2 linked regions of the Nothobranchius furzeri genome follow. The protein of the gene in region 1 interacts with the protein of each later gene in a pairwise test. Links are inferred from orthologs where the notes say so. Each region holds a gene or a part of one and is shown on either strand. Other genes may lie near its edges.

Region 1 (4,017 bases):
TTTAACGCTGTTATTTACCATCCAAACACCCCCACGTAGACATGCACTCACTCACACACACGAGCAGACCCACGCACTCACAGTCTCATTCACTCACTCACACACACTGAGAAAAACATTCAACCTCAACTCATTGAAGCTGCTATAGCGGTAACAAATAGCAGCAGCTGTTACCTGTTTTGTTGGTTTTTATTTGTGGCTCATGCTGGCAAAATAATTCTGAATGCGCACATGCTGATTATGAGAGTTGCCGAGAGCCGAAAATGTGAGAGAGCGCAAATTGGCCAAAGTAAAAATGTTAAAGATAATGTCACGGCCGTCGTAGACACTATTCCAACATTGTTGAAGTTCTTGCTAAAGCAAAATGACAATGAACTCTTGATTGTAAAGTGTAATACCTCATCCTGTTTGAACTTATTTTCTATACTTCATGCTCCTCCAGATTGTTGATCATATAGATATAAGGTGCGTCATCTACTACTACAACAACTTTATTTTAGAATTTTTTTTAATAAAATGTGTTCAAATGAAGAAATGTGTGTTTATTTCATTGAGATACATACATTAGTAATACTCAAATTGCTATAGAAGTCAAATAATGGGGAAATAATCGATAATCTAATCGAATTGAAATCTAATTAAGTTGACAGATTAGTTAGAAGCATCGAAAAAAGTATCGCTAGATTAATTGATTACAAAAATAATCCTTTTGTCCAGCCCTAGTGTGGACACTTGGCCTTGCAAAGGACCAAGCTAGGCCTTGCAGCTCAGAAACAGACCCTAGCACCTTCTTAGGGTTCTACAACCCCCCAAGGTACTTCACAACACAATCAGTCATTCACCCATTCACACGCTGATGACGATGAGCTAAAATATAGCCATAGCCACCCTGGCGCTCACTGAGGGAGGCGAGGCTGCCAAACACAAGCACCACCGGTCCCTCTGACCACCACCAGCAGGCAAGGCAGGTTAAATGTCTTGCCCAAGGACACAACAGCAGCAATCTCTGGTCAGAGCCGGGATTTAATCTGCAGCCTTCTTATTACTGGACAACCCGCTCCACCACATGAGCTACTGCTGTTGTGTATTTTATGTGTGTATTTTATGTGTGTATTTTACATATTCATAACCTATAAGTAGTAAAGCATCTTTCTTTAAGCGTTATCATCTCAAGTTAACAATCAAAAACTCAAATAATCAAAACAAATAAAAACATGTACTTTTTTAAAATCTTACATTGTTTAATATTTACATGTTTCTTTGGTAAAAGGCTGATCCTCCTTTGCTTTGTCCGAGAACAGAGTTCCAGCTTCAGAAACAAACACAGAGATAAACAGATACCTGGCTGAACTATTCTAGGAAGTCAATGCTTCAACTGCAATGATTTCCAACCCTCTGTCACAACTATAATCATCCCAGCGTGTAGACACCAACACCCATTCCTCCCCACAGAAGGGAAAAAACCCTCACTGCTCATGTCATCATTATAAAGTCTTAATAATTATCATCTGAGGGTGCAGTGGGAGAGCGCAGGAGTGAAAGAAAGCCTGAAAACGAGAGAAAGAGGCAGTAAATGGATAGAGTGAGAAAGTAGGCAGCACCCTGTGGGTGCCTGACGGATGAGGGTGTCAGCTGTATTCACCCAACTAGCAGCCTTGTCTCAGAGAGTGTCAAGCCCCATGCACAAAGACCTGTCTCATTAAAGGCTGTGATCATCCAGCAACAAGAGAGCAAGAACGATCGGGCCCATAAATGACTTTTTAGAAGCTGGCGAAACACCAGTTCATTAAGCACAACGCTCTACTCCATGGCTGATCGACATTGACCACCCATATGGAATGTGTCCTCTTCACATTAGGAAAAGTTTATTTAATAGAGAATTCATCATCTAAACATAAGAAATAGAGAGAAGCAACACTCGACATTGGACCCCGCTTCCCTGCATTTGTATTGTTTAAAATTGGTGCATTATTAATGAGGGGGGGGGAATGTTAGACTCAGCTTTTTGGAGGCCAAACTCAAACCAGCTTTTGTCTCCTGTCACCAGCAGCATTACTTCAACAGTTAAAACACTGGAGCCAACACAAAAAGGTAAAAATCCTATTTCAGTGATCAACTACTTCATCATCCAATAACATCTATAGTTTTGTTATTTACATAAAAATACAACATAAATTTGACAGTTTTGACAGTAAAAGTCAATAAGTATCATCCACAATGCGCTAACAGCAGGGTTCAGCTCAGGTCATGTCATCTCAATCAATACACAATGTCACTATTGATCAGTGCAGGGCACTTGGGGGAAAACGATGAATAGAGGTTGCTAAATACATCCTAATATCACTGTAGACTATCTAACACATGCGCAAAGAGATAATTACTACTAGATGTAAAATTTACCACTAATGAGAAATTTGCTTGAGTACATTTGCTGATTAATCTGAGACGTTTTTCTGCATCAGTTGTGTGCACTCACACACACACACACACACACACACACACACACACACACACACACACACACACACACACACACACACACACACAAACACACACACACACACACACACACACACACAAACACACACACACACACACACAAACTGCTTACCCGTCCAGCTCCGGTTCTCTCAAGCCCAAACACCCCGAGCCCCCATAGGAAGAGACAGAAAGCCTACCTCGGTCCCCGGTGACAGCTCTCCCTCTGTGTTTCTGGAGGTCGACTTGTGGCAGGCGCTGACAGGATGGTAGTTTTCGTGAGCAGAGAAGTTTCAACGAGGCAGTGCCACAGTGATCACACGCGTTGTGTCAGCGTATCAGCAGACACCGCGTGACAACGCCCCAAAACAACAACAAAACAACTGATGTGGATCTTCTGGACCCGCTTCTGAAGGATGTTGCTTTTCCAACTCAGCTGTGCGCAGCTGCGCGCTTCCTCCTCCTCTCCCTCCTGACGCGGTTCCCCCAAACCAAACGAGGGCACGTGACCAACCCACAGGGGACTGGAATAGATTTCCTCACCCCTCCTCCCCCTCCAACAGTAGCAGCTGGGATCAGTTTCACCGCTGCTCCAGTGGCCGCGCAACAAACCCGAGCCGTGCGCACCCACACTCTTCTTCCACACATCATCCCGCCTCAGCGTCTGTCGCTGTCAGGATTATAGCTTCAAATTTAAAATGATCAGTTGAACAAATAAAGTGAATAAGAAAAAAAACATTTTTTGGCTTGTAAAGTTGGATGAAACGAACTGATCACGATTCCGATTTAAGCGTCCTAGAAGAAACTTTATCTTTATAATAAAACTGTTAGTTTTACTGGGTCAAGTGGCTCCATAGAAACAGCATCGATGTTTGAACCTATTCAGTAACAGATGAGTGAGGTTGAGACCCAAACAAGTGATACACTAATATCATCACCATCCATAGCCCCTGCGTCACAGCTTCACCTGGAAAAGGAGAGAGCGGAACGGGAAGACTGTCAGGAATTCTGACAGTTTTTGAAACCATTTTTTCAGTTAAAATTAAACGTTGCCTATCGAATTGATAAAGAGGACAAAATATAAGAATCTCAGAAGAATAACAACTAGCTGATTAGTACACTGCCCAGCAAAAGGCAAGGCAGCTTTATTTAGAGCACATTTCAAACACAGAGGCAATTCAATGTGTTTTACAATTATCAGGACATGGTATGAAAACACATAAAAACACAAAGTAAAATACACACAGATAGAATTACAGTTTAAATGATAAATGACCCACACTTGTACAGCACCTCTCAGAGTAAGGACTCCAAAGCGCTTTACACTACAATGTATCATTCATCCATTCACACACACATTCATACACTGATGGTGATGAGTTACGATGTAACCACAGCTGCCCTGGGGCGCACTGACAGAGGCGAGGCTGCCAAAAACAGGTGCCACCGGTCCCTCCGACCACCACCAGCAGGTAAGGTGGGCTAAGTGTCTTGCCCAAGGACACAACAGCAGAATTCTCTGTCCAGAGCCGGGATCAA
Region 2 (3,518 bases), on another chromosome or scaffold:
CGGCAACATTTAGACCTCCAGAAACCATCGAGGACATCTGAAATTACATCTGTGCTCATCCAGATAAGCTCCTTTAACTTCATTAAAACATTAATTTGACCAAATTCACAGAAATAATCATCACAAATAAACTCCAAATAATATTCTGGTTGATTTATTGTCTGAAACTAAAACAGAAGCAGGAGGATCAGGATAAGGGTTATTCTAGCAGAATAAACCTTCAAGTTTAATTTGAAATAAATGCATCGGATGTTTTCGGAGTTCCTTTCATCTCGAGGACACCTGCCCGTTTGTGGTTGAATGACCATAAATGAAAAGCAACCCATCCTTGATTCTAACCACCTATTTTACTGTTGTCCACTTTTATTTCCATACCGCTCGTTATTTTGCTTATTCCCTATTTTTGTAGGCCTGCTCGTGTCTAAACAAATCCATGCTGGCTCACGTGTCAGCAGCTTGCCATATTTAAATGTTGTGCTTTCTCATAAATGTGAAATCCTGATGAAATCTCATTTAATGCATCACATTTTTCCAGCTGATTAGAAAAGAGATCCCAGCCGCCCACATCCCAACATTTCCTCTAAATACGAACGCTGTGCGACACGCTGCTGCAGGGAAGGGCAGAGTTTCCTCCAGGCAAAGTCATCATCTGTCCACAACTACATTTATATTAAACAAAATATCTGATGACCATTTGATTTTGAAGGCGACATTTTCCTGTTCCAGACAGAAATACGCCCGAATCGTCATAACAGCAGCTGACCAGACTTATTTCAGGTTTTGACCGACAGCTTTATTCACTTTAGATGAAATAATCTAGACCATCTATGCTCACACCCACCTTTGTTTATTTCTACACAATAACCTGAGAAACATTCACTTTCAGCTATTAAAACTGCCATTTATGGCAAAAAGGGTTCATTTCACTGGTTACATTTACTGATGTGCTGCAATATTGATAATGCAACACCATCTATGTGTAATATATATATATACATACATGTGTGTGTGTTGAGTAGCCCTGCATAAGACTCGAGAAATCTGGAACATAACATGCAACACTTGTATGTATTTGGGTTTGAGCTGACAGGAGTAAATATGTCCCACGAGGACACGGTGTGCAAATTAGCTCAACATTTTCTGCCTTCCAGCAAACGCTGGCCTTAGAATACAGCAGAGACACGTCGTCACATGTCAACTCAGTCTGGTTGGAGTTTAAAGCTTCCATTGATCGGCTGGATTTGATTTGCATAAAAATACCCAGCATGCACTCTGTTTTAAGAAGGATTTTCAGTCCTCCGACTATTGAAACATTTATTTTATGTCTTGTCAAATACTCAAAGCTGGTCTTGATCTCTTTGTTCGGCTTTGCTGCAGGTTGCTTTGGTTTGTTTTAGAGATAAATTCAGCAGGGAGACAGAAGGAAGGAGGAAATTCTCAAAAGGAATCCAGACAGCAACAATTAGTCCAAATGAGGAGAAATTACAGCAAAGACAAAAGGATCACAACCGGATTACAGTCTGCAGAGGAGATTGAGCAATTAATTACACGCTACAAGAGGAAGCAGAATAAATGACCCCCCCCCCCCACACACACACACACACACACACGACATTGTGACATCATATGGTACCAGCTAACATTCTACGGTACCTCTTAGCCAATAGCGATGGCAGATTTAAATTCAAATACAGTGCAGAGTTTTTACCTAACGGCACAACACTGACAGTTTTAGGCAGAAAATTAAATTTTTAATTAAAATGCACTAAAGTGCAAAACTATTGATCACACGTGTCTGCAGCACGATTAGACACACATTTATATAGTTTATCAGGAAAAAAAAGGTTGATTAGAAGGTGACTCTTTAATGGTCTGTTCTCATGGTCAATATTACCTCTTTGCTGTGATTTTACAGAGTTTTATGCCTTTAGGCAAAAGTTCAAGCAGGTTTGGGTTGTATCAGTTGCAATAAATGATTGTACGGCCACACCTTCTGATGTGACCATTATACAGTTTTTAATGATCATTACAGTTTTTATGAACAGCTGATTAAAAATGTATGTTTTCAGTAATGCAAGAAATTTTTGTTTTTGATGATAAATCCTCAGGTGAAACAAAAATACCTAAAAAATGGAAGTTTTATTTCTGTGTAAAAGTCCTGATGCCACGGTGTTCAGAGGACTCTGGAGGACGATGATTAGAGTTTTATCTGAGGACATGAACTACAGATGGTCTGTCAGACCGTCCGTTGGGCCGTAGGACCACCTCAAACAGTTAAATGCCTGAAGGCACGACTGTGGAGGCAGAAAACAAACATCATCTCACCTTCCTCCAGCTCATCCAAGGTAGAGATCTTGCGTGAGCCGTCAATGGTGAAGATGAAGCGGACGCCCTGCGGCAGGTTGATGTGGTCGGCGAGTGAGCGTGTGAGGTCAGCCAGGAGGGAATCGAAGGTGCGGAACCGGTCATTCGCCACGGCGTACACAATGCCCTTAAAGTAGCGGTCTCCGTTGCGGTAGAAGCGCACCTTCTTGGCTTTCTTCTCGTTGGTGAGAGCCTGCAGGGTGCGTGTGCGGTAGAAACTGCAGTGGGCACTGTGCGTGGGACTGGGGAGTCCATTCATGCGTCCTCCCCGTGGAGTGCGGGATGTCTTGTCCCGTTCATCAAAATGTCCAAAGTCTAGCTCCATGATGGCTTATAGTGATGGTGGCTGTGAAGGAAAGGGATGAGGTGGCGATCAGTTGTGGAGAATCTGGGAGAGGAAGGAAACAGTAATCCATTAGGACGACAACAAGCCTTTGGTTCGCTAAAAAAAATACAAAAAATGAACAATTCAAGCCATCAGACCACAGCAGAGTCTAATCCTGGTCCTCCGGGCCACCATCCTGCATTTGTTTCTCTGCTCCAACACACCTGATTCAACCACCACTTCAGCATCCCCCAGTCAGGTGTCCTGGAGCAGAGAAACACCTGCGGGTAACCCTAACCAATATTAGACACCACAGATGCTAAAGATGTAATATCAGAAACACAGATGTTCTATGAATCTGTCCAAAAGAAGATGATCCAAGATTTCATTACATCAGAAATCATCATCTGTGATCCTGGTTCAGATCAAAGAAACGCCCATCTTCTCTGGACTGAAGCTTTTAGGAGCTGAATTCAGGCGAAGCTGAAAGCTGCATTTTGATTTAGGAACACATCCTTTCTCAGACCAAAGGGAAAGCTTTTGCTAGCAGAAGGATGCAGAGAAGATGTAGTTTGAGAATCTGAGTTTTAAGAAAAGCTGCAGCTGCTTATTTCAAGACATTGTCTGCATTTTCTTTTGAAAAATCCCTCCATTAAAGAGCTGAGCTGGCCTACAGGAAGTTCCACTTTGTTCTTTACATGAACATATCTGATGAATGAATAAGATCAGAAAACAGCCGACCACCCAGGACTGTTATCACAGAGCACATTCCTGTCCTGAAAGGCTCTCTACATATTTGGTTTAGTTGTAAAAAGTTACACTAAACTTG

What was found. The genes of interacting proteins can lie anywhere in the genome.
Region 2: the proteins of mid2 (region 1) and neuronal migration protein doublecortin interact in binary tests that used the Homo sapiens proteins (3 or more experiments, as listed by UniProt). The two-hybrid records come from large-scale screens. The link is inferred for Nothobranchius furzeri from reciprocal best matches to the Homo sapiens genes MID2 and DCX.

What each region holds. Positions count from the first base shown.
Region 1 is NC_091741.1:89,376,249-89,380,265, forward strand, and holds the start of mid2 (probable E3 ubiquitin-protein ligase MID2), read right to left. Parts: upstream 2,816-4,017; 5' UTR 2,679-2,815; intron 1-2,678. UniProt on the Homo sapiens protein: E3 ubiquitin ligase that plays a role in microtubule stabilization. Mediates the 'Lys-48'-linked polyubiquitination of LRRK2 to drive its localization to microtubules and its proteasomal degradation in neurons.
Region 2 is NC_091750.1:46,837,306-46,840,823, forward strand, and holds part of neuronal migration protein doublecortin, read right to left. Parts: intron 2,753-3,518; 5' UTR 2,690-2,752; coding exon 2,326-2,689; intron 1-2,325. UniProt on the Homo sapiens protein: Microtubule-associated protein required for initial steps of neuronal dispersion and cortex lamination during cerebral cortex development. May act by competing with the putative neuronal protein kinase DCLK1 in binding to a target protein.